7 linked regions of the Coturnix japonica genome follow. The protein of the gene in region 5 interacts with the protein of the main gene of each other region in a biochemical or structural test. Links are inferred from orthologs where the notes say so. Each region holds a gene or a part of one and is shown on either strand. Other genes may lie near its edges.

The links.
Region 1: the proteins of TBP (region 5) and E2F1 form a complex in vitro, tested with the Homo sapiens proteins (2 studies listed by BioGRID). The link is inferred for Coturnix japonica from reciprocal best matches to the Homo sapiens genes TBP and E2F1.
Region 2: the proteins of TBP (region 5) and GTF2E1 form a complex in vitro, tested with the Homo sapiens proteins (3 studies listed by BioGRID). The link is inferred for Coturnix japonica from reciprocal best matches to the Homo sapiens genes TBP and GTF2E1.
Region 3: the proteins of TBP (region 5) and GTF2A1 form a complex in vitro, tested with the Homo sapiens proteins (7 studies listed by BioGRID and IntAct, with this or other methods). The link is inferred for Coturnix japonica from reciprocal best matches to the Homo sapiens genes TBP and GTF2A1.
Region 4: the proteins of TBP (region 5) and AHR form a complex in vitro, tested with the Homo sapiens proteins (2 studies listed by BioGRID). The link is inferred for Coturnix japonica from reciprocal best matches to the Homo sapiens genes TBP and AHR.
Region 6: the proteins of TBP (region 5) and BTAF1 form a complex in vitro, tested with the Homo sapiens proteins (2 studies listed by BioGRID). The link is inferred for Coturnix japonica from reciprocal best matches to the Homo sapiens genes TBP and BTAF1.
Region 7: the proteins of TBP (region 5) and BRF1 form a complex in vitro, tested with the Homo sapiens proteins (2 studies listed by BioGRID). The link is inferred for Coturnix japonica from reciprocal best matches to the Homo sapiens genes TBP and BRF1.

Annotation. Positions count from the first base shown.
Region 1 is NC_029535.1:1,932,690-1,937,570, forward strand, and holds the start of E2F1 (transcription factor E2F1), read left to right. Parts: upstream 1-1,992; 5' UTR 1,993-2,007; coding exon 2,008-2,199; intron 2,200-2,467; coding exon 2,468-2,558; intron 2,559-2,819; coding exon 2,820-3,039; intron 3,040-3,180; coding exon 3,181-3,333; intron 3,334-3,480; coding exon 3,481-3,595; intron 3,596-3,681; coding exon 3,682-3,874; intron 3,875-4,444; coding exon 4,445-4,692; 3' UTR 4,693-4,881. UniProt on the Homo sapiens protein: Transcription activator that binds DNA cooperatively with DP proteins through the E2 recognition site, 5'-TTTC[CG]CGC-3' found in the promoter region of a number of genes whose products are involved in cell cycle regulation or in DNA replication.
Region 2 is NC_029516.1:71,484,887-71,488,972, reverse strand, and holds part of GTF2E1 (general transcription factor IIE subunit 1), read left to right. Parts: intron 1-3,159; 5' UTR 3,160-3,192; coding exon 3,193-3,640; intron 3,641-4,086.
Region 3 is NC_029520.1:37,063,377-37,067,462, reverse strand, and holds part of GTF2A1 (transcription initiation factor IIA subunit 1), read left to right. Parts: intron 1-2,318; coding exon 2,319-2,452; intron 2,453-3,274; coding exon 3,275-3,595; intron 3,596-4,086. UniProt on the Homo sapiens protein: TFIIA is a component of the transcription machinery of RNA polymerase II and plays an important role in transcriptional activation. TFIIA in a complex with TBP mediates transcriptional activity.
Region 4 is NC_029517.1:26,403,229-26,407,314, reverse strand, and holds part of AHR (aryl hydrocarbon receptor), read right to left. Parts: intron 570-4,086; coding exon 382-569; intron 1-381. UniProt on the Homo sapiens protein: Ligand-activated transcription factor that enables cells to adapt to changing conditions by sensing compounds from the environment, diet, microbiome and cellular metabolism, and which plays important roles in development, immunity and cancer.
Region 5 is NC_029518.1:36,564,299-36,568,909, forward strand, and holds the start of TBP (TATA-box-binding protein), read right to left. Parts: upstream 2,976-4,611; 5' UTR 2,866-2,975; intron 1,091-2,865; 5' UTR 902-1,090; coding exon 848-901; intron 1-847. UniProt on the Homo sapiens protein: The TFIID basal transcription factor complex plays a major role in the initiation of RNA polymerase II (Pol II)-dependent transcription.
Region 6 is NC_029521.1:18,219,824-18,223,909, forward strand, and holds part of BTAF1 (TATA-binding protein-associated factor 172), read right to left. Parts: exon of another isoform or gene 4,005-4,086; intron 3,348-4,004; coding exon 3,224-3,347; intron 2,147-3,223; coding exon 2,032-2,146; intron 1-2,031. UniProt on the Homo sapiens protein: Regulates transcription in association with TATA binding protein (TBP). Removes TBP from the TATA box in an ATP-dependent manner.
Region 7 is NC_029520.1:47,935,547-47,939,632, reverse strand, and holds part of BRF1 (transcription factor IIIB 90 kDa subunit), read left to right. Parts: intron 1-1,587; coding exon 1,588-1,844; intron 1,845-4,086.

The sequences.
Region 1 (4,881 bases), on a different chromosome or scaffold from region 5:
GGAGCTGAACTTGCTCTGTTCAGCATCCAAGGCCATAGCTGGTATCCTGGGGGCAAAATTGCTACTGTAGCGTTCTGTATAGTAATACAACGAAAGGAAGGATTCCTAACTCTTGGGAAGCAGGATCCACTTGTGCCATCTCCCATGTGGAAAAACACCCAAAACGCCGTTCCAACCTGAAAGAAGGCAGGACAACGATGTGGGGTCGGGTCCCTCTGTAGGAATCCAAAGCAGCAGTCTGGGATGCTGAATGTGTCCCAGCAGGAACCCAGGGGCAGTGCTGTGATCAAACCCTCCCTGAGGTCAGAGCAGGGATGGTTTGAGTCCAGATTTGCATCCTCCCAGCTCCCCTGTGTGCTCCCACCACCAGCAGATGACCGTGCGTGGCCTTAGAGACCCACAGGCTGTCCATAATCATGCCCACAAAGGGATAACGTTGGCCAAGCCTGCAGCTTGCAGAGCCCTCTGACCCCCCCCAGCCCAGCAGGAGATGCAGTGCAGCACTGGCAGCTATCAGGGCTCAGCACCCATTGGCAGCTTATCACCACCCGCAGCTGTGCCAGGTGGGATTCATCCGCGGGTGGGGAAAAGCCCCCTTTCCCCCCTCAGCATTTGTCGCAGTGACTGTTTTGCCTTTCATTTGTCTTTGCATCTGCCCTTTTCAAGTGCCACAAGAGCTGAAAGCCTCGGCGAATTGGCACGGGGGAGGTTGGGGGGGGGAGCCCGCTCCCCCTGCATAAACTGCCGTATGAATGAGGGAGGGGGGAATAAAACAAACCCGTGCTGCCCCCAGCTGCCCCGGCCTTTGTGAGCGCGGTGGGAGCAGCTGGTGCCGCAGCTGCCGCTCACAGCCCGCGGCCCCGGAACGGCCCCGCAGCCGGGGCGGGTGGGACCGTGTGTCCGGGCGGGGCGGCACCAACGGGCCGCATCTGGCGTGTAACTGCTGCTCGTACCACTCGCTAACGGGGATATCGCCGTGACCGGGGTGCGGGTTATCGCAAGGGCCGAGCGTTAATTAACAGCGCTCACCGCCGCCAAGCGGAGCGGTGCTGCCGTTCGGTGCTGTGCTGCAGGGCTGGGCCGTGGGCTCCGCAGCCACAGGAAGAACGAGCAGCAAAACACCGCTCAGCGTTCACTACATCCCCGCTGTGAGGCACCGCCCGCACCCAGCGCTAACCCGGCCGTCCCGCTGAGCCCCGCTGCGGCCGCAGCTCCAACTCCGGCCCCGCAGTACCGAGATGGGGGGGTGTTTATGTCCCTGTGGGTTGGGCTCCGTTGGAGGCACATTGAGGTTATCAGCGCCCCGCACACGGGATACAGACGGCGGGAGCCGCCCACGCCACGTCCCGCGGCTTTGACTATGGGCTGCCCTGCCCTGCACCGCCCGCACCGCCACGGACACGCAGCTCAGCCCCGCAGCCCGCACAGCGTCACGGGCAGCTCTAGCCCAGCAGTGCAGGGAGCGCCCGGCGCTCAGACCCGTCTGTGAGTGACCCCACGCGGGACCAGCTCCGCGCCGCCCTCGGCCCCTTTAAGGCCCGGCCGCGCTCCTCACCCACGCGGCGCCACGGCCGCGTCCCCGAGACGCCTCCCGATTGGCTCCTGCCTCAGCTCGGCGGTTCTGATTGGCCGCCTGTCAGCGCGTCCGCCGCCGCCGCCCTTAACCAATGGGCGGCCGGCACCGCCCCTCCCTCCGGCGACCTCGACCAATCAGACGGTTTCCCCGCACCCCCGCCTCAGCGCTCGGCGTTGGGCGCAGCCAATGGGCGGGCGCGGGGAGGTTGGCGCCGCTTTCGCGGCAAAAAGGATTTGGCGCGCAAAGGCGCGCGGGGCCGGAGCGCGGGACAGCCCGGCACAGCCCGGCACGGCCCGGCACGGCCCGGTACAACCCGGAACGGCCCGGAACGACCTGGGGAACGGCCCCGCGGATCGGCCCCGCGCCCGGCAATGGGCCGCGCCCCCGCCCCGGCCGCGGCCCCGCGCCCCGCGCCGCCCGTCACCTGAGCCATGGCTACGGCGGGCGGCGCGGCGGGGCTGGCGGCGCTGCTGGGCGGCTCCTCCCCGCACCTCCTCATCGTCTCGGCCTCCGAGGAGCCCGCGGGCGGCTGCCGCCCCGACGCCGACCTCCTGCTCTTCGCCACGCCGCAGCCCTCCCAGCCCGGCCCCGCGCCGCGCCGCCCCACGCTGGGCCGCCCGCCGGTAACCGCGGGACGGGGGAGGGAGCGGGGCTGAGCGGGGCTGAGCGGGCCGCCGGGCGGGGCCGGGACGTCGCGGTGCCCACGCGGGACCCCCCCCCCCCCCCCCGTCAGAGCCCGGCCGCGCGGGGCACCGCCGCTCCGGAAGCCGCCGCCGAGGCCGCCTTCCGCCCGGCAGCGCCGTTGCGCGGGGCTGCCCCCACAGGCCGGGGCCCGGCCCTGCCGCCGCGGTGCGTTCCGCGTCCCCGCGCTGAGGACGCCCTGTCCCGCAGGTGAAGCGGAAGCTGAACTTGGAGACGGATCACCAGTACATCGCCGACAGCCTGCCCGCCGCCCGCGGCAGGGCCCGCATCCCCGGCAGAGGTACGGCCCCGCTGTGCTGCCGGCCTGAGCCCTTCGGGATGGGCCTCGTCACCTCCCTCTTCCCCTCTGCCACCTGCCGTCCCCGTAGAGCGCTGGGCCCTGCCCGGCTGCTCGCTGTCAGGGCTCAGTCTCGGGGCCCTGCAGCACCATCCCCCGAGCTTCCCATTGCCAGCAGCTGCCGGGTGCTGCTCACCTGCCGGGTGTGGCGGTGCTGGGGCTGCCCCGCGCCCCACGGCTGAATCTTGCACCTGTCCCCAACAGGGGCAAAGTCTCCTGGGGAGAAATCCCGCTATGAAACCTCACTGAACCTCACCACCAAGCGCTTCCTGGAGCTGCTCAGCCAATCCCCCGATGGTGTGGTGGATCTCAACTGGGCGGCCGAGGTGCTGAAGGTGCAGAAGAGGCGCATCTACGACATCACCAATGTCCTGGAGGGCATCCAGCTCATCCGCAAGAAGTCCAAGAACCACATCCAGTGGATGTATGTCCATCAGGGTGGGGGGATAACACCGAAGCTGCCAGGGTTGGGTGGAGGGAGGGAGGTTGGGTTCCACCCTGAGATCGGGAGGTGATGGCAGCAGTGGGGTGTTAGTGCTGGGGGTGACAGCCCTGTGTACCCCAGGGGCAGCCAGGTGGCCGCGGGGGCTTCAAGCCGACAGCAGCTGCTGGAGAAGGAGCTGCGGGATCTGCAGGCGGCAGAACGGCAGCTGGACGAGCTCATCCAGACGTGCACGGTGCAGCTGCGGCTGCTCACCGAGGATCCCTCCAACCAGCAATATCCTTCGGTGCGGGGCCGGGATGGGGCTGGATGGGCTGGAGAGCTGTTGGGGAATGGAGCCCCCCCCTGCTCTGACACTTATGGTCACTGTGTGGGGTTTTGGGTGTGAATGTGGCCCCGTGTCTGCTCCTTGACCCGCCGCACCGCAGCCTACGTCACCTGCCAGGACCTTCGGAGCATTGTGGACCCCTCTGAGCAAATGGTGATGGTTATCAAGGCACCCCCAGAGACCCAGCTGCAAGTCTCAGACCCGGCAGAGGTGAGTGAGGGGTCTCTCCTCCCCATGGATCTTCACAGCCCTCGGTACAACTCCACCTTGGCACTCCATGTCCCTCCTGTCCCCAGGCTTTCCAGGTCTCAGTGAAAAGCACTCAGGGCCCCATCGACGTGTTCCTCTGCCCCGAGGACAGCTCAGGGGTCTGCAGCCCCGTCAAGAGCCCCTTCAAGGCACCTGCTGAGGAGCTGTCCCCTGGCTCATCGCAGCAGAGAGCCTCCCCGCTCCTGCATCCTGCTCAGGATGTCAACATGCTGCTGCCTGGTGAGCAAGGTGGGGATGGGGATGGGAATGGGATGGGAATGGGATGGGAAGGGATGGGATGGGATGGGATGGGATGGGATGGGATGGGATGGGATGGGATGGGATGGGATGGGAATGGAATGGAATGGGGGCACTGCCTGGGCTCTGTGGTGTGGGGACAGTGTTATCACTGTTGTTCCAGTTCCAGGAGCACGAGGTTACAGGGCTGAGGTCTTGGCTGTGTGTTAGGAGGAGCCTGACCTCCATGCTCATGCAGTGCCAAGTAGTTGGACTCAATGATCCTTATGAGCGAGTCCTTTTTAAATTGGGGTATTCTGTGATCCACCCAGCTGTGGGCTCTGCTCCTACCCAAGCTTGGCAGAGACAGCCCTGGATCTTTCTGCTTAGGAAAGGACACTGTCCCTCTTTGTCCCACCACTCAGCAAGTGGTCTGAGTCACGCTGCCCAGTTGGCCTGGATGTTTCTGATCACTCCTGATGCTTTGTGTGCCATCTGCATGGCCTCAGTAGCTTAGAACACAGCAGTTCTGGTGTGTGCTGTGGGGCTGACAGCCTCGCTCTGTCCCCACAGAAGCACTGCTACCAGGCACAGCACTGCCCTCCAAGTGCTCCACAGAGGATGTGAGCCTGTCACCGCTGGCCTCCATGGACACCCTTCTGGAGCAGGCCAAGGACGATTTCTCGGGCTTCCTGGCGGATGAGTTCATTGCCCTGTCACCACCACAGGCACAGGATTACCACTTCGGCCTGGAGGAGGGTGAGGGCATCAGTGAACTCTTTGACTGTGACTTTGGGGACTTCACGCACTTGGACTTCTGAGGCTCTTGTCCTGATTTCAGAAGCTATCCCACTGCCAAGGGGGGGGACGCAGGCAGGGCTGAGGACAGCCACGTGGTGCCCTGTGCCTTGGTGTGGCTCTGGTGCCTTCCTGGGGTCCCTGTGCTGCAGCAGCCCTGGGCCCCCTCCATCCGTCCCCTCTGCAATATTTTCTTCCCTCCTATCCGGCAT
Region 2 (4,086 bases), on a different chromosome or scaffold from region 5:
AAAGCTAGATTTGAAGTTTGCAGGTGACCGCTGGATGGAGACATGGTGCATAGGGGCTTTTAAAAGCATGTCGTACTTAGTCACATTTAAAGGTGAAGGACTCTGTAAAACTTCAAACGTGGGTACAAGAAAGACAGAAAGTGAACAGGGAAAGTTAATGGTGAAGTTGAAGTTCATACATTAAGGATGTTACAGATGTTATTATGAAACAGATGCACGTCCATTAAAACCTTGTTAGGAGATGTTATCGTATTTCTTTGTCCATGTAATTTGACTTCAGTGCTTCAATGGGAGGTAAAGTCACTGCTTAAGAACTCAATGGTAAAATCCTTTTTTCAAATGATATTCTTGTGGTATTGGGTTACCAATTGTGAGGTGGATCCTGTCCTGGCTAATGAGAGATAGCAAGGAGTTGGGCTCGTGTTGCAGCCTGGGTCTGTTTGTGGTTGGGTGGCAAGATGTCAGCTTCTCCTAGAGAAACCATGCTAGATTCTGTTCTTGACTAGGATGCTCTTTGGCTTTCTTTATTTTTTTCCTTAAAGCTGACACTAGTCTTGTTTTTTATCATCCAAAGGCTCAGCTTCTCGAAGGGAAGTTTGATAGGAAAGAGTGGTATGTGGTGTTTTCAGAATGCTTGTATTTCCATGTATCTGTGCCTGGAAGAAAACCAGTGTTACATGCAAGATATGCCTGCTATAGTGTGAGGATAAAGGGGATCTGGATGTGACTACGAGCTCCAGTAACTCCTGGTGCTGCTTGATGGAGAGGTTTGAATCTTCCCACACAACACTAAGATAATTGATTAAATCTCTCCCATGGTTCTCAGCAGTAGTTAAAAGCCTGTACTCTTACAGAAGGGTTGTTTTTATTAGTGCCTTGTAGGTCTGAATATAAGCTTATAAGGCATAATTCAGGAAATTGTGCCTTAGGTTTGTTTGGAAAATGTCTGCAGGATTCTGCAGCTGTCTAATCAATGAGATTGGTGCAGAGAAAATGCTTTCCATCAGCTCTCAAGTGCCATCGATGATCTCTAAGATCCCTTCCAACCCGCACGAGACTATGATACTATGATGATACTATGATATCCACAGTGAGATGTGCTTGCTTAGAATCTCAACATTCATAGAGATTCGTTTGTTTGTTTCTGGGATCAACGATTAGAAATGTCTCGACTTCCAAAGTTTGTCTTTTTAAATTACTTCTGTGTTGCCAGGTATGACTTCAGGTCAGTCTTACTAGTGCTACACTGTGCCTAAACTCTGAGTAAGTAGAGTTATTCAGCTTGAATAAATAAAGCTCCTGGCTGGATTCTGCATTGACACAGCTTTATGGTGTCTAAATGTTGCTGACGGATTCAGTCGAAACCAAGGTTTAGCTCTAAGGGATTGTAAAGTTGTTGAAAATAGGAACAGAATGAAAGAGATTTTCAGGAACAATGTCCTGTAACTGTATTCACGTAGACTCTGGCTTCTTTATGCATAAGTTTTCAGTGCTGTTGTGGTTAATTCATACTGAGCCATCCTTTATTGCTAATGCTTTTTATCTTTACCCAGTTTAACGTAAAGCTCCATTGCAAATGCCCTTTGTGAGGCTGCAGCCATTATGCATGAGGCGTGCAGAAGGCTGACTTGAGAAGTACTCGCTTCATGGCTAATTCATGCTGGGATAAACATAATTAAATCTCCTTGAAGGGAAGTTGGAGCTGGACATCCAGGCACTGTTTTCTGTAAGCACTTCTGCCTGCCAACAAACAGACAACAGATTTTGTTCGGTTCCTTTCAATTTGGGCACCGCGAATAATATTTGGCCTTAAGACAGAGGAAGAGATAGCTGAGGCAGGGAAGTGTTTTAAAAGAAAAGAATAAGAATGTCTTTTGTATTCAGGAGACAAAACCAACAAACCCACAGTGCAAGGCAGATTTGCTTTGTAGTTGTGCTGGCTGTAACCCTTAAGAGGAATGAACCTCAGCTGCAGAGGAAGGTTAAAGAGAAGTAAAGCTTCAATGAGTAACGGTGTTTGAGGTTTTTGAGGGGGAAGCATTTTCTGTATGAAAGATAAAATCCAAGTGGGTTACTGTGCTAAGTGATAACAAATCATTGAGCAGTCTCACCTGATGGAAGTGAGTCATCAGCTGGGGGTAAACATATAGAGCTTGATCATTTCAGGGGGTGTATTAGTGTGGGGAGTACAGAGAAGTACTGTAAAAATACTGCTTGTTAAAAAGGATATTATGGGTTTTATGATAACGATGGGAAAAAAACAAGACACCCATCCAGATCCCTCCTTCTGCTGTTTTTTCCCCACTTTTCTCTATTTAAAACTTGAGTGCTGGGGAGGTACGTGCTCAGTGTGGGAAAAATCTAACAATCTCTGAGTGAGATGGGCAGAATTTAACTATATTTGACATTAGCTCACAGATAAAAATTACTGAGCAATGAAGAACAAACTGCAGATGTGGTATTTTTGTTTGTTTGTTTTGTTTTGTTTGACTTGGAGGAACATTTTGCTTGAGAAATGGTTATTCATACCCTAACGCAGAATAAAGGCTCTTATTGAGATAGACCAGCCAAAGGTTTATTGGATGTTAATTGGAAGTACAAACCCTCGCGTGTTTCCTAAGTATGTATAATACTCATGAACCTTCCATGTATACATGCATTGAGTGGAGGGAAATTCTTTTATAGACTAGAGATAGGCTTGAAATAGTGGAGGAAAAACATGCAAAACCTTGTGAAATGATAGTAAACCTTTGTCCTGTGCCATATGAAGAGTTGCTTCCCTTTGTTACTGCCACTTGTTACATCCACTTTTGAGGGCTGTCTTAAGGCCTGTCTGGTAGCTTTCTTCTGCTTCTACCAAGCTAAGTTTCATCACTGAGGAAGCTGTCTGCTGGAGCTCACATTCAAGGCAGCTTTCTTATTCCAGCTCTGAGTAGAACTGCAACTGGCTGAACGTTAAGGTAGCAATTTGTGTGCTTCTGCTTTCCACCATTTTGTTATGAGCTTGAGGTATCACTTCCTAATTCTATGATTGTTGCACTGACATCATTAACATTTAAGGAGGGAAAATGCCACATCCTTTTCCTAGCTGTAGGAAAGATGCATGAAAAGTAAGATTTCTGACTTTAGAAGTTAAATATCCTTTGTTTTGTTTTGTTCCAGTGTACATGAAGGTCAAGATCTGAAGCTGCTATGACTGACCCAGACGTCCTCACTGAGGTCCCTGCAGCTCTCAAGCGCCTTGCCAAGTATGTTGTGCGTGGTTTCTATGGCATTGAACACGCTTTGGCCCTGGACATTCTCATCCGAAACCCCTGTGTGAAGGAAGAGGACATGTTAGAGCTCCTTAAATTTGATAGGAAGCAGCTGCGGTCTGTCCTCAACACCCTCAAGGGTGACAAGTTCATCAAATGCAGAATGAGGGTAGAGACGGCTGCAGATGGTAAAACCACCCGTCATAACTACTACTTCATCAACTACCGCCTGCTGGTGAATGTGGTGAAGTACAAGCTGGATCACATGCGGAGGAGGATCGAGACAGATGAGAGAGACTCCACCAATCGAGCCTCCTTTAAATGCCCCATTTGCTTCAGTACTTTCACAGACTTGGAGGCCAAACAGCTGTTTGACCCCAGGGCAGGTAAGAGTGGTATGGGTAGCAGTGCTGGGTGTTAAAGAAAGGTGGTAGTTTTGGTAATGGATAGGGTAGTTCTTATGTTATCAATACAGGCAAGTAGTAATTGTGGTAAAATGCTTGTAGATCGATATACTTGAGTGATAAGAAGCGGAGAAATGGAGGTCTCATCCCAATCAAATTCAAGAATGAAAAAGGCAGTCTGTCCTTTTTGGTGGCTTTTGATATGACCTGATCTTGCCATTAAACTGCATGACTTCTTGTTTGCAATGAGGACGTATAAATTGCTGAGTTTTATATGCAGAAAATTTATCATGTAGATATGGGTGTGCAGGGAGTAAACTATTACTGTTTAATTTTCTTCTAGCCATTTCATTATACTGCATGACCTAGTTTCCCTAGTGTAAAACATTCTCACAAAAGTTAAAAGGAATTAATTACAGACTTGTCTG
Region 3 (4,086 bases), on a different chromosome or scaffold from region 5:
GTCTTCCAGCCAGTCTGCCTCAAACCTGTGGAGTTGCTTGGGGTGGTAAAGGAAAACCTGAGAAAGTTTGTTTCCTAGAATCAGTTGCTTTTCTTGCCAGAATAGTTCACTTAGTCTGCTCAGAATCATCTGGAACTTAACCTTCCCGCTGTATGCATCTGAATGTGTAGTGGATACACAGTTGAAACAAAATTGGAATGTGTATCTGTTCTAGAAATTTAAGATCTTCTAATTTCTAAGGAAGAACATCTGTGCTTTAAGAAGACTATTATATTGTTTCTTATGTTATGCTTACTGTTTTCTTTTTCAGTTGCAAATATTTGTAGTATGTTTTCTTTAAGAACAGGGTATGGTAGTCTGCAGAACTGTATTTTCTTCCTTCTTTCAGATTTACTTACCTGTTAGAGTAAAGAGAGCATTCTAGTTTGCACTGAAAGGAGAACAGAAAATAAAATCAATCTTTAGGGAGATGTGTAAAGTTGAGGGTTGTCTAATTTCATTTCTTCTCCTTTATTTGAATAGAAATATAAAGAGTGTATTGGATTATATCTTAGCTCCCCCTTCTCGGAGTGGAAACAAGCTGTAAAGGCAGCTGTAAACATGAGCCTTCAACGTATTTTGTGAAGAATAGGTGTCAAATAATAGAACTATAGGATAATTAAAGAAATAGACATCAGAATGTAGGCATTGTGGAAAAAGGAAGGAGAAACATAATATAAGAACAAACTGGACAGACTCTTCAGAAAGGCAACTAGACATTAAATTCATATAGACAGTTACATACAGAGGGATTTCCTACAATGTGATTATCAAAGGGACAGAAGTCCCACAAGGGAGATGCTATCTGGCTAGGCCTCAGAAATACCACAGCATTGGATAAAACTTTAGTGATGTGGCTACCTGTGCTTCTTGTATTTGTATATACTCATGTGGATGTTGTGTACTTTGACTTCAGCAAGGCTTTTAATGCTCTCTCTTGTAACATCCTCTTAGATAAGCTTTGGAAGTGGGGGACAGACAGGTGCCCAGTGAGGTGGATTGAGAACTGGCTGACTGGCAGAGCTCCGAGGCTTGTCATTGACATAGGGTCTATTTGGAACCCTGTAGCTTGCAGTGTTTCCCAGAGGTCAGACCTGGATTAAGGGATAGAGTGCACCCTCAGCAGGTTTGCTGATAATACAAAGCTGGGAGTAGTGGCTTACATACCAGAAGGCTGTGCTGCCATTCACTGAAACCTGGGCAGGCTGAGGAATTGGGTGGAAAGGAATATTAGGAGGTTCAAGTGCAGAGTCCCACACCTGGGGAGGAATAACAACACATACCAGTAAAGGGTAAGGGGCTGGCTATCTGGAAATTATCTCTGCTGAGAGGAATCTGGGTGTCCTGGTGCAGATTGTTGACCATTAGCCAGCAGATATCGATAGTATCTTGGGGTGCAATAAAAAGAGTGTGGCCAGCTGCTCATGGGGGAGTGTTCTTCCCCCTCTGCTCCATCATGTTGAAGCCAAATGTAGAGTATTGTGTTCAGTCCTTGGGCTTTTCAGTTCAAGAAAGACGGGGAACTTGTGTGGAGAGTCCAGCAGAGAGCCACAGAGATGATGAGGGGCCTTTAGCATCTCCCATATGAGGAAAGGCTGAGTAACCTGGACTTGTTCAGCCTGGAGAAGAGAAGACTGAGAGGGGAATCTTATCGATTCTTACAGGTATCTAATGGGTAGGAATGAAGTGGATTATGCCAGACTCTTTTCAGCAATGCTGAACAAAAGAAAAGAGTTGATGAACATCAATGGGAATACAGTTCCACCTGAATATGAGAAAATCATTGTTTTATTTGAGGGTGGCATAGCACTGGAACAAGCTGCCCAGAGAGGCTGTGGAGTCTCCTTCTCTGCAGATATTCAAAACCTGCCTGGACACTTTCTTGTGCAACCTCCTTTAGCAGAGAGGGTTGCACTAGATGATCTCCAGAAGTGCTTTCCAACCTGTACAGTTCTGTGATTCATTTGTACTCTGCCTGTACAATTTATCTTAGGAACACACCTCGTGTTTTATAAGTAGGAATTAATGTTCGAAATACTGTCTTGCTTTAAAGGTTTAATCTTGGGTTGCATAATTAACAATGATAAATAGCAAACAGCCATATAAATGGTTCCTTTCTGGCACAGCTGCTATGGCATGGTATCTTTTCATGGATGAAAACAGAATACAGTGCTCTTTAATTGTTACAGTTGTTCTTTCAGGAAACAGCTTTCTAAACTAAGCTAATTTTAAATGGTGATATCTGTTCTTTGATTAATTTGGTTTTTATCTTACTACAGGCCAGATCCTCCAAGTAGTTAGAACTGCAAATGGAGCTCAATATATCATTCAGCCACAGCAGCCAGTTGTTCTACAGCAGCAGGTCATACCACAAATGCAGCCTGGTGGCGTACAAGCACCTGTTATACAGCAGGTAAAGAAAAGAAATTAATAGGTACACTTGAAAGTAAAAACCTGAGAGTAGTTATTAAATGGGCTTGCATTTTTTTATTGTCAGATTTAAACAGTATACAAAGACAGAAGTAGTATATTTAGAAAAGGATTGTGTTAAGAATGTTTTCAAGGATGAAATGTTTTGGAATATTGTTTCAAATGTTTTTATTCTTGTAAGATTCAGACTAGTATTGGTTTAAAATTGCTGTTGTGTGGGTCCAATGACAATTATATTATGTGCACAATTTTAGTCAGTATCCTTTCACAAAAGTATTGATCGGTTAAATGACTTTGTGTTGCAGCATATGTAGAGGAAAATGCCTTTAAAAAAACCCAAGCAAGTAATCAAAAACCCAAAGCATATAAACAATCTGCACCAAACCTGGACATTTCATTACTGAATACAGTATGTTGTTTTGCCAGGATTTTTTTTCAGTTACAAGCTCAACTGTGCGTCCAGGTTGTGTAGGCATTGAATTTATTGTTGTGTCACAGTTCTGCAGCTTAAACCTGAATAACAGTCTGTAGCAAATTTCAGGTTAAAGTATTCTGTAAAGAAATTTTAAAAATAATCTCCTATTTGAGTTTAAACGCTACTCTACTGTGCTTGGAATTTGAGAGCAGAAAAACACCAAGTAATTAGAGAAGCTTTGTTATTGAAGATTTAATTACCTGTCTGATGTAGATGGAGTATTAGTAACTTCTTTCTCTAATTAGTCCGAGTCAGATTGATATGCTTAATTGTCTTCTGTAAGTGCTGTGGTAGTCTGGTGTGTTACCAAGCACTATACTATTCCATCAGGTTTTGGCTCCAATTCCTGGAGGGATTCCCCAGCAGACAGGAGTGATTATTCAGCCTCAGCAGATCCTGTTTACAGGAAATAAAACTCAAGTTATACCTACAACAGTGGCTGCCCCTACAACAGCTCAAGCACAGATTCCTGCAGCTGGTCAGCAGCAGCCACAGCAACAACAGGCACAACCACAAGCACCACTTGTTCTCCAAGTTGATGGAGCAGGAGACACATCATCTGAAGAAGAAGAAGATGAGGAAGAAGACTATGATGATGATGAAGAGGAGGACAAAGAAAAAGATGGAGGTGAAGATGGCCAGGTCGAAGAGGTAAAATTAACATCATTGCAGAATGCCTGTATTTCATTTTTAATTTTTTCCCTACAGTACTTAAAGGAAAACTGTAATTCTCCAAGAATGTTACCTTCCCATAATCTCGAATATGTCAGTGCTATCTGTGTACTGTAGTTTCTTTATATCCCATACTGACGTGGTGGAAACTGTTATTATCAAAGCACCTTGAAATGCAGCTGGTGTGGCAGGGGATAACAAAAAAAAAAAAAGTTAATTACGATGAGTGCCTTTTTAAAGACTTCAGCAGTATTATTTCTGGTAGTAAGGAATGGTCAGCCCTGATATCATGAATCCTTCATAAGCAAATGGAAATAATCAGCTCCATTTGGGACAGAGTGCTTTCCAAAGCCAGGTGGTAGGAGGGATGACACAAGGTGGGTGTCAAACACTGAGAGAACAAATAGATGTAGTGGTTTGTCATTTTACTCACTGTTAGATTGCCTTATGTTATACTAGAAGGGGCCTGA
Region 4 (4,086 bases), on a different chromosome or scaffold from region 5:
AAACATACAGCTGATTGGAACTCATATGATATTTACTCAACTGTAATGGCTTTATAAGGGCTATTTTCAAGGGGGTAAATAATAAATCTCAGCTTATCATTTCTGAAAGTTTAAGAAAAAGGACTGGAAGACTCATTAAGGGCAATATTGCTTCCAAATGCAAACCTTCAAAAGACTGATGAAATTTAAGGACTTCTGTTTGTTTTTCAAGCAACTAGAAAGCCTACTTTATACAAATATACTGTATATATCCATACAATTGTACGTTCCACTAAAATACAGAAAAGTTAATGATTTTGAGTACTTCAGTAGTGAACACAACCTGCAGTACAAGCGGCATTACACAGGCAGTCCTAAACCAAAAACATTCCCAACTCTTACCATCAAAAAAACTCTTGGCTCGCAAGTAACTGACGCTGAGCCTAAGCACAGACAACTTATCCAATTTGGCGATAACATCTTGAGGGAAAGGCAGAAGGCTTGCCAAGCGATCCAATTCCGCATTCAAACGGTCCCTGTGCCTCTTGGATGGATTGGATTTGACTCCTTCAGCTGGAGATGGCTTTACTCTGTGGCAAAACAAACAAACAAACAAAAAATAAACAGAAGTTCCTTCCCAATATGAAGGCAAATATTTGTCTTGCATTACAAACAACTTTCAAATTTTAACATGCAAAATGTTTTTCCTAAGTGACTTCTGTTCCACATGGAAAAAATGTAAAATTCATCTCAGATCATTTTGCTTTTCTTCCCAACATACTCACTGTTAAACAAATCAATAAGACCTACCATGGCTATCTGAACACATAACGGATGTTTGCAAACTTAGATATAGCATTTGTAAAAACCTTCTTATGCTTCCACTCAGATGCCTTGATTTCTTTCAAATTATGAATTTGAACTTATTAATATTAGTGTACAAATTATTTGACAGCACTGTCAGGTTTTTACTTGAGTTAAAAATTTTAACAAACATCTTTAATTCTTCATCAAGGTTTGGAACAGGTTATTGTAAATCAGATATAATAAAATGTTTAGTAACTTGCTAGGGGCACTCAAAATCTCACAAGAGGAAACACAGCTCTGACAGCATGTAAAATTTTCCTTGCTAATACCACTAAACCCATTCTGTAAAGTAACTCTTGGCTAATGGCGTTTCACTTGAGTATGATACAACAAAGGAATGCCTCTATACGTTACAAGCTACAATTTAAAAGCTTTCTGTTCTGAATTATGTGGTAAATTTTGCAAACTTGCTGTATTCCTGGGCTCCCAGATACCTGAATACTCATCCCTACCATACACAGTTACTACAGATCTGTTAAAATTTGGGTTGTTTTCACAGGGGTGATAGCTCTGCAAGGTGCATCATTTCCGAAATGTTATCCAGGCAAGATAGTCACTTGTATATGATTAACCCAACTTAAATATAACTCTAACAAAATAAATAAACCTCAAGATCATCAAATAGGACCAGTAACATCTAAAGATACCTCAAATATTGGTGTTCATAGCACAGCATTCATTGTGAGCACAGAACAACAAATGATAAACTTTAAGCAAATAAAAGCTGTATAACTGTCACTGAACAGTTCATTATTACCAAATCAAAGCATGTTTCCAAAAAGCAGAGGTCCCCATGAAAACAGCTCATGACATGCCAATTACAGCAGCACTGAATACCAGGCTTCTCTCTTATCACACCTGTCCTCCCTTTTGCTCAAAACTTCTATCAGCGATTTGACAAGCTATGCTGAAACTACATGGAACCGGGCAATTACCTTGACAAATTACTCATTAGATCTAATTGTTTTTGAATTACTTTCACCTAAGTTTTTACTTCCGAGTAGTCCAATGCATAAGGATTCCCCAAATGCAGCACAGAACACTTCCAAACATAAAGTTGGCAGTATTTTCAGCACAGATTCTATTATCTTCTCTCCTTTAAACCAAACACTGTTTGTCCCTAATTTTATTCACTATAACCCAACAAAAATCTGTGATTTCAATGGAACTGCCTGTGACAAAAGAAATAGGGATGGAAACAAAGGGGAAATAAGTAATAACTTGAACCATTTTCCATTCACTTCCATACACTGTTGATGCTCAGGGATGCCCTAGTTGCACTGCAGAAAATTATCTTCAATTATAATTAAATGCTACGTCAAGATTATTTTTATTACTTAAAAAGGGGAAAAGGGGGGGAAATAAAACACAAAACAAACAGTAAAGAAGAAAACAGGTTTTAATCTGACCTTCTGGGCATCATCTTTTACCTTACTTACAGGAAACTCAAATTCTCCAATCAATCAAAGGCCAAAGATTGACACACATTCAGTATCTCTCAAGTAAACAACAATCCTTGTCATCCAATAGCTGCACAACAAGCAAGGACTTCTAATTCTAGTTTTACTACCCTGAAGGCCATTCTACCACAACATTAGCTGACTATTTTCAGAGATCTGCCACAGACAATAGAAACTTCAATTGCACATGCTTACTATGTGTGCCCTCACTGGTATTAATAACACTACATTTACAAAAAAGAAAAAGCACACCGATATCTGGATTCTATTATTAAAAGGCCCAAATAAGTTTCATTATTTATAGGCTAATTTGTATTTTTAAAGGGAAATTGAAGCAGTTCCTTGAGAAAATGAAATGCAACACAGATTTATTTTCTTCCTAACATACAAGAAAACCTAAAATATAAGAAACTGCTAAAATAGGAGGAGTTTGTCAGAATGGCTTTATTGCTTAGGGAAAAAAAGGGGATAAGGAAGAACATGCAGGGAACCTCAATGACTCATTTAATCTTTTCAGCTGTGTGTATTTTCATTTCATCTTCAATACAGCATATGCTAATATGTTATTCTTATGTCTATTATTCAGTTAAGAATGGGTCAGGTATATGAAACTCATCAGTTAACACTGAGCAAGTGCTCTGTAGGTGATACTTTCCAAAATTCTCTATTTACTTTAACAACTGAAAGACTCCTATGAATACTTTTATCTGCCACACTGAATTCACCATTAAGGAACATTCAGCTGCTGATTCCTTTGAAAGCAACAGATTCAATGCAGACTAACAATCCCTTTGCTCAAAAGCTTTGTCAACCTATCTTGGAAGGGCAAGAGGCACTTTCCAGTGATTCCTTCAGCAGTTTTAGGCAGCAAAGGAATAAAGATGTTTTCACTAAAAATCTCATGTGCTATTCATCTGATGCTGGGCAACTGTTTGTCCTCCAGAAGCAGTCTGTTGCTCAGGTTTGCTTAGTGTCCAAAAGACTCTGACAGAACGATGGGGACAGCCAGAACACTAGGCAAAAGCAAACTCTTTACACTCAGTTTTAACATCCTTCAATACTCCCTAAGATCACAAGCCAGGACTATCCAGAAAAAACAAAAAAGCATGTTCCTAGCTACAATGGTCAGAGCATCTACATTTAATTATCTCTATATGCTGCAGCTAGTTGTTGTTGCTTTGGTGGTTTTGTTTTTATTTAATGTTAGAATGTATCTTTGTACATGTAACAGTGTAACATTGTAATGTTAGAAGTATCTTTGCACTGCTTTCTGAAATCACTATGCCTTAATATATACTCTTAATTAAGGATCAACCAGCCAAATGTTTTTCTCTGGAATATTTAGTATCATGAATACATTTATGCTAACATGGAACAAAAGTGTATCATTTCTTATTTAGTCTGCTTTTTCAAGAAACATGCTGTTACGCTTTGTGTGCCTGCACAGTATGAAACATTTAGATCCCCCCCACCCCATTCCATGTCTATTACATTCATTCCGTTATGCAAAACAATTCCTACCCAAACACTGAAAAAAGAGAAAAACAAAGCAAATCACAGCAGGACTGAGCGAGGAGGCAGAAAAGCATAAGAAGCTAAAGACAGCAAGGTGAAACAACAGATATATAACATCTTTCACTTGATGTTAGGATCTATCTCCAGTAAACTTCAATAAAACAATGCATTTTATCCTACCAGCATGTAAAGTCGACAGTTCAGTTAATAATCAGTAGAGAAAAGGCACAGAAGACCTTAAAAAGAAAACAGAACAATTGAAAGA
Region 5 (4,611 bases):
CAATCGATCTGTCAATTCCAACACTTCTCAGCACCAGTCAGCGACGCTGGTACGTTTCCTACAATACCTGGAAAGTGCGTCTCAACTTTGACCCACAATTCCTACTTGCAATCATTAGAATGCAAATGCATTCACAGCACAACTGTAGTCCATTACATATAAGCCAATTTAAAGGATTCCAAAAGCAATGAACAAAGTTAAAATGATACAATGACTTGAGTTGGAAGGGAAAGTCCATCCAGTCCCACCCTCTGCCATAGGCAGGGCTGCCACCCACCAGCTCAGGGCCCCATCCAACCTGGCCTTGAATGCCTCCAGGGATGGGGCATCCACAGCTTCTCTGGCCAAGAGAAGCTTCACAGGCTTCTCTGTGCCTGACCACTCTCTGAATAAAGAATTTCCTCCTAACATCTAACCTAAATTTCCCTCTTTTAGTTTAAAGCCATTCCCCGTTGTCCTACTGCTATTAGACCATGTTAAAAAGTCAGCCCCCCTCCTCCTGCTTGCAAGTTCCCTTCAAGTGCTGGAAGGCTGCAATGAGGTCTCCCCTGAACCTTCTTATTTTCAACATGCCAGTAATGTTTCAGCTTCATGAAAACCATAAATATATCAGTGTATTTCTTAAACCTCTGGATATATATCTATATATACCCATATCTATCTATCTATCTATATATAAATGGTTTTTCATCTCTGCTTTTTACTGAGTAAGTTATATACAGTAGAATTTTTCAGATCTGCAAACACACAAACAAAAAAAGACACAAAGAAATAACATACAAGACACAGAAAACACTCCCACAAAGAAATTCAGACCGCTTTTGCATATCACATCATCCCTTTTTACCTGAGGGGAGGCTAAGCCTTGAGCGTAGGGTGGCAAGCTGTTGTTCTGATCCATGATTCCGGTTATTCTTTGGTGAGGCCAGAAATATTTCCTTCAATTAATTGAAATTAATTTAAAACCAAAAAGGGTTTTTGACCCTCTAAAGCATTCCAGCAAAGCAGCTTTTTAGCCAAGCTGAAAACGTGTCAGGAAAACATCAGCTCCAGAGAAAACACGTTGCGAGTCTAAAACACTAAACAGGGCCTGAAAAGAAAAGAAGTAATATCTTGAGAATAACATTTAAACAAAAGCAGGCTTATCAGCTGGTCTGTTAGATAAGAAATGCCCACATACAAATATATGCGAGAACACTCATACGCACGCACACACCCATGCACCTTATATAAAGCAATCTCTTTCTACAGCCCTAGTGCCCCTGGTGAACATCCACTGCACGTGAGCAGCCGCCTCCACAACGAAGGCCTCCTTCACACACAGCTCCAGTCCTGCATGCATCGCTTCAGATGGGAAAGCATTGACTTTCAGAACTGAATTCCACCAGCTACTGACAGACGAGCCTAAAGCCACGCTTCGCTCACACATCTCCCCCTGGGCAGAGTTAAGGCTTGGCCTTCCAAAGTTGTTTTTTGATTTTGCTATATGAAAATACTGCTGGTAAACTCAGGTTTAGGAAACCTCCTCCCATCTACTTCCATAAAGCAAAGCACTAATGTATTTTGAATTGCAATGACGTACTTCACGAGGGGAAAAAGGGAAACTAAAAGCCAATTCCAGGTATATGCATGAAACGAAAGTATTCTTCTGGGTGTTGTTTCACTTACTGTTTGTTTTTTGCCTTTTAAACAAAGACCTGTACCTCTATTGGCACGCAATGGAAAGAAACAATACAAATAGAGAACTGAAATGCTTTCATGGCGCTGTAAGGGCTGGAAGTGACCTCCAGAGATCACTGAGCCCAATCCTCTGCTAAAGCAGGATCCCTACAGCAGGAGAGTGGCTGGGTAAGTTTTGAGTACCTACTGTGAAGGGGACTCCACAGCCTCTCTGGGCAGCTCTGTCTTCCTCTATTTGTACGGAGCTTCCCATGCTGCAGTTTGTGTCCACTACTCCTTGTTCTGCCTTGAACTGGGGAGCCCAGAACTGGACGCAGTGCTCCAGATGGAGCCTCAGCAGGGCAGGGCAGAGGGGGAGATCACCTCCCTCAACCTGCCGGCCATGCTCTTTTTGATGCACCCCAGGATCCCATTGGCCCTCTGGGCCACCGGGGCACACTCATGGCCAACCTGCTGTCTGCAAACACCCAGCTCCTTCTCTGCATAGCTATATTATGAAATGCTAAGCCTTTTTATCAGATATTTTTCCTATTCATTTATAGCTTAACTGCACACTTACACAGAGAGCTCCTAAGCCATTTTAAGGCACAGCACTGAAACATTTGAAGAAAGCCTGCCCATCTTTCTCTCGTCCTTAAGGCACTCAGTATCACATTAACCACCCGCTGTTTTACCCAAAGGCGTTTCCACGTTGCACACCGTGCAAAGAAGGGGCCCAGCCGTTACCCAGCATCACGGGCAGCCCATCCTCAGGCCCAACACGCCGCGCGGACTCCACATACACCGAACCCAGCCGCCGAGCCCCGGTACCAGGCCCACGTGCAGGGCAAGGGCCGATCACGGCTCCCGTACCGAACCCAAGGCCGCCGCCGCCGCCGCGTTCCCCGCCCGCCGTCACGTGTGGGAGGCGGTGACCGCGTCCCGCCGCCATCACGCCCCCGGCACCAACGGCCGTACCGGGATCGCTCCCGTCGCTCCGCTCGGCCCGCGGCCCGCTCACCCCGCACATCCCTTCTCTCCCTCCCCCCCTCCCCGCCGCTCGGGCCCGCCCGCAGGACCCCGACCCTACGGCGGCGCCCACGGGGAGTAAGAAGCGGGCTCGGCCCGGCCACCCCCCCCGCCATAAGCGGCACAGCCCGCGCCGTGTGGGCTGCGGGGCGGAGCGGGACACGGAACGGCCGGTACCTGCCGCGCGGCGCCGCCACAACCAGCACCGCAACTGCGGGACACAGGCTGCGCCCCGAGACCGCGCCGCCGGCGCGCCTCGATTGCGTCACTTCCGCCACGAATCCGCCCCGCCCCTCTTACCGCCATCTTGAGTGAGGGCGGGGCCTGCGGGCTGTTGTCTGCGGGGTGTTGGCTTTACTCGCACCTCGTGGCACAGCGTGTGGTGCCGTGCTCACAGTGTCACAGTGTGGTGCGGGTTGGAAGGGACCTTAGAGATCATCGAGTCCAACCCCCGGGATTCGAGCCTCTGTGTAGCAGAGCGGCACTTCTACCACACGCGCCACAGGGGGGATTCGAACCCAGGGCCTGCGGTGTTGCAAAGCGGCATTGCTACTACTGCACCACCGGGGCACACGGTGTGCTGGTGTGCTCATGGCGAGAGCCTGCTGTGCTTGCCGGCCCTGCCGCCCGAAGGCTGGCACGGCTCCATGCGGCCGGGTGGTCACCGCCGATGGGGCGTGGTACCTCCAGAGCAGACGAGACGAGGTGCCTGTGCCTCGTAGAGCGCCGCCTCCTCGCTTCCGGTGCCGCCATTTTGCCGTGAGACAGCAGGGCTGGTGCCGTAGGGATGCTGTCCGCAGCGCGATACGCCGAGCTGAGGCCGGAGCCGGGATATGGGCTGGGCGGACCTGTGCAGTACCGCTTCTCGCCATACACCTTCAACGGCGGGTGAGAGCCGCGGGCAGGGATGGGCCGGGGGGAGGTGAGCTGGGCTGCGTCTTGCTCGTTGTCGTTTTGCCTTCTGTCTTCACTAGGAGAGTGGTTAGGCCCTGGAACAGGCTGCCCAGGGAGGTTGTGGATGCCCCGTCCTTGGAGGTGTTCCAAAGACCCGGTTGGGACGGGCCTGGGCAACTCTGATGTAGTAAATGTGTATGTTTGGTGGCCCTGCCAGGCAGGGGGGTTGGAACTACATGATCCTTGAGGTCCCTTCCAACCCGGGTCATTCTGTTATTCTTCTGGCTGTTCATCGCTTGCCTAAGAACTAAGTTGTGCCAATTGTGTGAATTATATGAATGCTCTTCTTTAAGGACTGTGCTGGCGATCGCTGGGGAAGACTTTCAGCATTGTTTGCCTCCGACACACGGCTGAGTGAAGGTTATGCAATTCACAGCCGGGACAGCCCCAAATGCTACAAACTGTAAGTCTGCACCTTGTAAGGACTGAAATGGAAGAATGAGCCTGTAACTCTGTGTAGTATCTTTGATTCTCTGTTACTGTCCAGTGGAAGATTGCTTTAGTACAATTAGGTGTAGAAGCCCAGGATGGCTTTGGGTAATTCGGGTGACAGAAATTGAGGCAATCTCAATTGAAGTGGTTTTGAGTGTTTAAACTTATAAATGTGTGCTGGTGTTTTAACCTCATTGAAGCTAAAGCACTGGGCAGGTATTGCTTGCTTCCACCACAACCCACCTGCAGTGGGATGTGAAAGAGAGCCTGGGTTCGAATCCCCCTGTGGTGTGCAAGGTGGTAGAATGCCCGCTCTGCTACACAGGGGCTCGAATCCCAGGGGTTGGACTCAATGATCTCTAAGGGCCCTCCAACCCACACGAGACTATGATACTGGAAAAAACACAAGGTAAACCAATGGGCTGATGCAAAAGTAGTTTGATAGGTCAGAAAATTGAAGGAAATAATAATAAAGAGAATGGAAGGCATGGGCAATTGCTCTCCCACCTGCTGACCAATGCCCCAGCCAGTTCCTTA
Region 6 (4,086 bases), on a different chromosome or scaffold from region 5:
GATAACGGTCAGAGAGAAAGACATAATTTCACTCTGCAGAGGAATCATCAGGCATACAGTATTTTCATTCACAAAACAAAGACTCCATTTCATAAAAAACAAATCTTACTGTTTGTTTCTCCCTTGGTAAGTTTAGCTTTTTTAAATCTTGATCAATGGCAGACACAAAATCTTCCATGCACACATAAGGCCACCGTCAATTCGAGCTGCACATGGCTCACACATAGTTCAGACCTAAGTACCATGCCAGCTCTGCCTCACATAACCAACAGCCAGGCATCTCTGATAAGAGGCCAGGAAAGCAGACAAACTGCAAATACTGTCCAGTTCAACAACAATAAGATGGTTGATCCTCACAAGGCTTCTTATCATTTCCTGGTCATGAATTCACTTCCAAAGTATTCCCTTGCCTCAATATTTCAGTACTCGTGTGTTTCATGGCTTTCAGTCATGCATAGTGTCCATTCATACATAGTCTGCTGTGCTCACATCCTGAATTGAACCAGCACTACAAATACCACTATTGCCTACAAGAAACACAGCTTTTATTTTCATAATTTGTCTCATGCTTACTTATGAAAGTTTGTTCATTTACAGTAGAATAAATCTGATTGCATATTGAGCACCATACAAAATGAGTAATACCTACATTTCTTCAGACCTGAAGAGGGAGATAACATTTCATTATACATATACATGGCAGAGTCTATAAATAAAGCTACTCAATATACAGATATATCAGGAAAGAGTCAGCATAGCTCCTGAAAAAAACCTCTCATTAACATGATTATCAACATCCTTAAAGAGCTCTAACATGCAGATAGAGGAGATCTATTAAGAAATTCAAAACTGCTTGACAAGTTTTCATACTGAAAGTTGAAGGAACTAGGCTCCTACAGAACTGGATGAAGCCTCCTTTTACATACTGAAAGCTAGTTAAAGAAAGGTTAAAGCTGAATGTTGGAACCAATTTGTGTGTCTTTGACAACAGGACCGAGATTTCATTATGCACTACTCTCCCATCATGTATGTGACATTAAGCAGTTCTGGGTAACCAAATGTCACAGTAGTACTATGAAATCCTAGAAGGACTCTTAAGAACAACAAGATGGCAGATAAAGTGCAACACTGAGAACTTAAGCTGTGTCTATACGGCACTGATGTGAGAACTGGTAGTTAACAGTGAATGAAGATTTTGAAGGCACTTCAGTTAGATTTCTGTAATTACCAGCTTATGAGGCAGCAACAGAACAGCCAGAACAGCCAACTGGGCACTCAGCTTCATCAGGAAGGACACTAAAAACATGATGAAGCACATCATTCTGCCACTACATATAAATACCAGTAGTCTAAAGAAGCAAATATACTATGGGCAGGTATGTGCATCTCAAGGAGAACACAAGTGAGAAAAAGCACCGAAAAGAACCAATAAAGCTGTCCAAAAGATAGAGCAGCTGTCTTTTGAGGAGAACCTGAGGAGGAGGCAACATTTCAAGGTGAAAAGGAATATGTTGAATGGGTGCAAATATAGCAAACATTTATAAAAATAACAAAGGCAGCGAATAAAGCTTAGCAGTAATGGAACAAGGAGGCGCTGAATGCAACTAGTGTGAGAGCACCTCAAAGCAGATATGAATTCTGTTACAACAAAAGCAACATCACAACAACTCCAGATACAAAATGAGCACAGATGGCAGCAAGCTGCCACGTCACCTCTCAGAAAGGTTTTTTCAGAAACTGCAAAATATGACAAAATCGACCTGTTAAAAGTTTCCCTGTTTCACCAGTTATTATTCCTCTTAATCATACAGAGTCAAGCATTTTGAGGGTACAGAGCAGAAGCAAAGGTCATGCACAGTGTTGTAAGTGAATACGAACATCTCGAGCTAAAGAGGTTACCACAGTCCATGAACATAAAACAAAAAAGCAGGTTCATTTTAAACAGCACAGCTGCCTTAAGACTTTTCATATCACAGTCAGTTTGCATCAGATAAACAACGTACTATTCTACATAATTCATTTAAGAAGCACCTTGCTTTAATCTCGGAGTTGGATTCCATTCAGGTACATTTTTCACTATTGCTTCAACAGCCTGGCCAGCTGCAATACGGGTGTCCCAATTTGTACTTCTTAAGTACACTAACACCTTTAAAGAGAAATTAACAAATAAATTAAATTTTGTTAAAAAGAACCATACTTTTAGAGCATCTATCAGTTATTACAGTCTGTTTAACACTTTTACTGCTGTGGATCAAGACAAGATTCAAAAAGAATTAAAACAAAGGACAAAAAACAAACAAACCAAAAAACCACCAAGCAAACCATAAGCGACCTTTGCTGCTTAGCAGAACCCATGGCATAGCCAGGCCTTAAGAACTTGCAGGTTACATTTAGTTGATCAGCCAAAGTTAACAATGCTTTATACAATGTAGATTTCACTTTATACAATGTACCTCCAGGTACCAAACAAGGCTTGAATTTTTTTTTTCTTTCTAAAACTGTTCCAAAAAGAACAACAGGCTTCAAAATTTTACCCAAGAAGGCCAAAATGGATCACTAGCAACAACTTATGCTCCTCTAAACTGATTTCCCTTCATGCCTCAAATCTGGAAGAAGTATTCTTTCACTGGAAGTGGTTTGATATTCATGATTCCCTGACCGTTCTTGGTGGCATCATAAATTGTGGTGAGAGCACCTGTTCGATAAAAGCAGAACTGAGGCCGTGCAGCCATCTCCAGCTGTCAGGTACAAAACTATTTTTGGTGTTTTTACTGGACTTGGCCAGACTACAGTCTCAAACTAATGGAAACCTGTTTCCATTTTCCAGCCTATGTAAAGACATGCAGCTTCCTATAATTTCAATCCTGTACCACACAAGCAACACTCTTTTAAAAGCGGCAGTGAAACATTTAAAAGGCAGTAGAGATCTGGATTTTCTGTAGAAGAAAATCTGAACTTACAGCAAACACTGAATACCAACACTGTGTGCAAAGTGAAACCTGACTTATGCAACCCTCACAGAAGCTACCAAAACAGCACGCCTTTAAAGACCCAGACTCTTAATTTTCTTCTTTTTTCAGAGAGCTCCACAAAAATGCTGTATTTTCAGCTGCCTCTATCCACAGAAACTACAGCCCAGAAGAGTCATTCTATTCTATTTCAGTCCTGACAGCAGTATCAGAAAACAAAAAAACAGAAAGACAAAAAGCCCTAAGATGCTTACTTTAGATAAGAGATTGTTCAGTTCATGAGGGTGCAGTTTCACTACTTCCCCGAGTTGCTGTGCAGCTGCTTTTCTTGTTACTGGTGTTGTACCGGTGTCCAGTAAAATAAAGAGACGATCAAGCCTGAATGATTGACAAAAAATGAAACCGTTACACTATTCATAGCACAGTTGACCATTTCTATTTATATTCCCCCAGATTTTCCAGTTTATCAAACGCAAATAGAAATGTTTGCCTGCCAACTGACAGACTGACAAATGTACTTATGCCTAATTCTAACTGTACTTGCTCCAAAAGCATATGTAGCCTGGTAGGAAAAAAATAAATAAGGGAGGAACTTTTAGAAACTTTAGCTCTAAAAAGTCCACAAGTTACAAGAAGAAAATGAAATAGGTTCCTTCTTCTGACACAGAACACTTTTAATTTTGCAGGACTGGTATTGTTAGGTTGTAAGCAATCTTCTGCAATTTCTGTCAGACAGAGAAAGCGAAGGCTCCATCATTCACACTGTGAATTATCATTTATTTTGAATACTGACATCTATAGTCATACTCTGCTTTTTCAGGACACCAGAAATTTTTAATTTTCACCTATTTTCCCTCTATTACCTGGAACACACAAGATCTAACCTGTTCTTGTATTTACAGCTTCAAAATACTCTGATACCTCCGGCCCTCCCATGAAATATGGGAACCAGCTTTGTTTTCACAGTAACTCTGTATTAGTGAGAGAGACCCCAAACATCTACTCTTAAAATAATTATTATAATTCTCTTTACAGAATGCTGAGATCCATGAAGCAGTGTGCAGTATGAGGTCTCTACTGAATGCAAGTCTTGCTGCGGCACAATCAGAATTTACCT
Region 7 (4,086 bases), on a different chromosome or scaffold from region 5:
AAATCAGTGCATGCAAAAACAGAGCTAGTTCTTGCATATAGGATTGCAATCCTAATTGCTTACTTATTTAAATACAGTTCTTAGGACATGCCTGACTTTTTTAACGCGTGCATGGGGAATTTGTTTGTACTTGCCCTACCTTAAGCAGCTTCCTCTGCTCTTACTATAATGATTTCTTTATGAACAGCTGAAGAGGTCTTTGTTATAGCCACTTAAAGAAGTATTTAGTCCTACCTTTCATAAAGAAGGCAATGGATATGTTAACAAATGGCACGTCCTGTCTCCATGTTTAGCAGCTTAAAGCAACCTAATTGGCCGTATATTCACAATTTACAGCATTAGTGTTTTTTGTAATTGAGCAAGTGACAAGTCAAATCTTCCACATGCAACTAAAATCCATGTTCGTTTTTAATGTGTGTATCTTGTATCTTTCTTTTCTGCCTAATGTGAAAGACAGAGTTTCCCACTTCCCCTAGGTATTTCAATAGCAAAAACAAAACCAGACAATGAAACACTGTTTTATGCTTCAGAGTCCCTCATTCATGCCGCCCTTCCAGGGCCGTGGAATTCTACCAGCAATTTTCAGAACTCTATAACTCTCTGGCACTGAGAAGCAGCCCAAACAACCCACCTTTTTGTTCTGACAACACAGGAGTTTTTCTCGAGCTGTATTGTTTCTGACAGCTCGAGTAGAACTTGATTAATATAGTGCTTTCCAATTTCAAGGTAGCACTTGACCCATGTAGGTAAACAGAGGGGCTATTATACATTAAAAAATAAATCTCCTGCGGAGCTTGGTGTTAAAAACTTCCTTTGAAAAGGAAAAGGTTGAATGAGAAACAGAAGACTTTTTTTGTGTGTTCCTAGCTAGGCATTGGTCCCAGACAGAAGTGTTCCCTGGTGTCATTTCTCTTTGTCTGGGTCTGTGCAGCATCAAACTGCTGCATAGTGTTAGCACTGGGCTTGCAGTGCTTGGCCGAGGGAGGTTGTCTCTCTCTGTGGGCAGGTGATGTTGCTGCAGCATCCTGCTTCCTCCCCAACACCATTATTGCTTAGAAAGCTGCTGCTAATTGCTAATTTTCTCCACTTCTTTCCATTCTGAGGAAGAGTTGGATGTGCAGCTTTCAGGCTTCATACAAAATGCTGCTGTCAGTGCCTAGGGGAGTGCCCCAGCTTGACTCTCACTTGGAAGGTAGTTTTAACAGAGGAATTTATTTGCATGCTGGGTGATGTTATCAAGGTCCCTGTTCCTGTAACGGGAGCTCTCTCCATTTTTTTTTTTCACATGTGAGAAATGGCCCACGTTGCTTTTCTGGCAGCGGTACAAATGTGCAGTCAAGAATTTGTAATAAACTGCGTGGGCATTTGGCAAAAATGGGAAAGCCTACACTGAATTCTTGTAGAAAAAGAAGTTTCTTAGCCTTAGTCCTCCCCCAGGCCATAGAGTGCTGACCTGGCTCTGCCCCATCGCCTATCCTGTCCCCGAGTCGCCAACACCTGTGCAGGGACTGCTGAGCTACAGGTCCCCCTTCTGCTACACAACCATTTTGTTTGTCTCTACATCACTAATTTTATATTTTAATTAAGCCAAAGAAAGCTGCAAAGAAGCGGGAGCCAATTCAAGCCAGCACAGCAGGAGAGGCAATTGAAAAGATGTTAGAACAGAAGAAAATCTCAAGTAAAATTAATTATAATGTGCTAAGGGACCTGAACAGCAAAGGAAGTAACACACCAAAGAAAGAGGATGACAGCACTGATGACAGCACCAACACCAAGAAGCTGTCAAGAAGAAAATCTATTGCCAGTAGGAATATAGCCAGCCCTGTAAACAGTGTGGGAAAAAGGTACCGCAATTGTTCATTTCTATCTCTGTCTGTGAGACTGTCTATGTATCTTTCTGAGCCAGACAATGTAGGTACTGAAACATTTGTCTGAGGCTAAAATAATGCTGGGCTCTTGTTTTTATTTATTTTGCCTGCAGTGTCACAGTGGAAACTTATTTATAGTTCTCGTATCAAAGGTCTGTTTTAGTGTGAGTTAATCATTCTGGAGGAGAAGAAAAAAAAAAATCAATGGAAATTCATAAACATCAATCTTTGGGCCACGAACAGCTTTTCTTCATATATCCCTGACATTTGGTGTCCTCCCTTTCTGGGTTGTCTGTATCTGCTGACATGACACTAAATGCTCGAAAGCTTTGGCTTTTTGCTTCATTTGAAAAATACAGTTCCCATCTGTTATGACAGCTAAGCTGTTTTGATTAGCTTTTATTTTAGTTTTGTTCCAAACTTTTGTTGTTAATTGGTGACACAAATATAAAGCTTTACAGTAAATATGCTTGTCGGTTTTCTGGTCTGCATTTGCAAATGTTTTATAGTGTGATGAAAGCTACTATTTTAATGTGCAAAATATTCAGACTTGCTGGGCAGATTTGTGGTGTGCTGTAATGTGTAGAAGGAGATGGATGTGTCCTATCTGCAATATTCAACTGTTTTATTAGCCTGCAGTTCATGAAATCATGTCGGATGATCATTTGGATGATCTCTCTCTATAGTGGTTTCTTATTTAGTTGCTAGATATTAATTTACTGCCTAAAAGATGTTTTTTGCTTCCAAGGCCATACACCACCAGGAAATCCAGACATTTAATATAGAAATGCTAGATGGTGTCTTCATACTGTTGTTTGGAGAGTGAAGGGCAGGGGGTGGATGGAGGGAGCAGAGGAGAGCTGGGGTTGGTGATGGCACTGCTTGCAGCAGCACTGGAGTGGGCAGAGCTCATGGGAGGGGGCTCAGGGCTGTCAGAAGTGAGAATGAGGAAGGAGCTGCAGCTGGAGGTGCTTCAGATATGATATTTTCCCTTCCTAAATAAAGCAGCTCTGGGGAGAAAAAGGCAACCAGAAGGTGTGAGAATTCATCTATTGGCAAAAGGAGTGAGGATGTAGCAAACCTGTGGAGGTAAAGCTGGGTGGGCTGGTATGGACATGGCCATACACAAACCTATTACTATGAACTGGTTTGCACTTGGGCAATTACATTGGCTTTGGCCAATGCTTTTAACTTCTCAGCCAGAATTGTGTCTACCTTCACTGTCACTGGGATACAGATTTTTGCAATGTAACAAATGTCTTTTGTTTTTCTGCTCTTCCTTCTTTATTCTGTGTTTTATCAAAATGGCTTCATCCTCATTCAGCTCCTCACCTCTCTAACACCAACAGCTTTCCAATTCATTCAGTGAGGATTTTAGTTTCCTATGTAAGTTGCTACTTCAGGTCATGTTTAATGACCTAAATACACATATTTTCTAATAGAAGGAAAGTGAAGATGGATTCAGGATTATCTCACAGCATTGGCTTATGGGTTTTTTTGTATTTAACAGGCATAGTGAGTCATATTTCTGCAATTTTTAGTGAAGCACAGCTCTGATACAGTTAGCAAGAATGGAATGCTGTGATGGGCAGTATGGGCTTGTGAGGGACCCATTGCTTTTCAGGACTTAGCAGTAATATGAGCACCTGAGATGCTTCAGCACATCCATCCATGTCCCTTTGAGGTCTGCCTTTCTGCAGCACTGGGCACTTGGAGCTCCTGTTGAAGCCAGCAAGTTAAACCCTTAACAGGTGTTAAACTCTTTGGAAAATCATGCCATAAATATTTGATTTAACAGTGGTGCAACTTGAAAAGGTCTCTAAATAAATACACAAATCAGTATTTTCCAAAAGCAGCTAATAAAATGTGTTTATTTTTCCACTTGAGTGCCTAAAGTACGTCCTTAAGATGCATAACAGTTTCCTGATGATGATTAGCAGATCTTAGATACAATGAATTTTGCAGCAGAGCACTTGAGAGAAGGTTGGTGATACATGCAGATACGTGGTTAAGATTTTGCACTCCAGAAGTAGGCAGCATTCCTGATTAAATAATATCAAGGACTTGGCAAACCATTTGTTTTTTATTTCTTACTGTTAAAAGATTTATGACATACATTTGATTTTATTTATTTAATTTTTTTGGCTGGTAGTCTTTAAAATGGCATGCATAAATTTCTGTGTTTCTCATTGTTCTAATATGCCATGCATTCATTTCC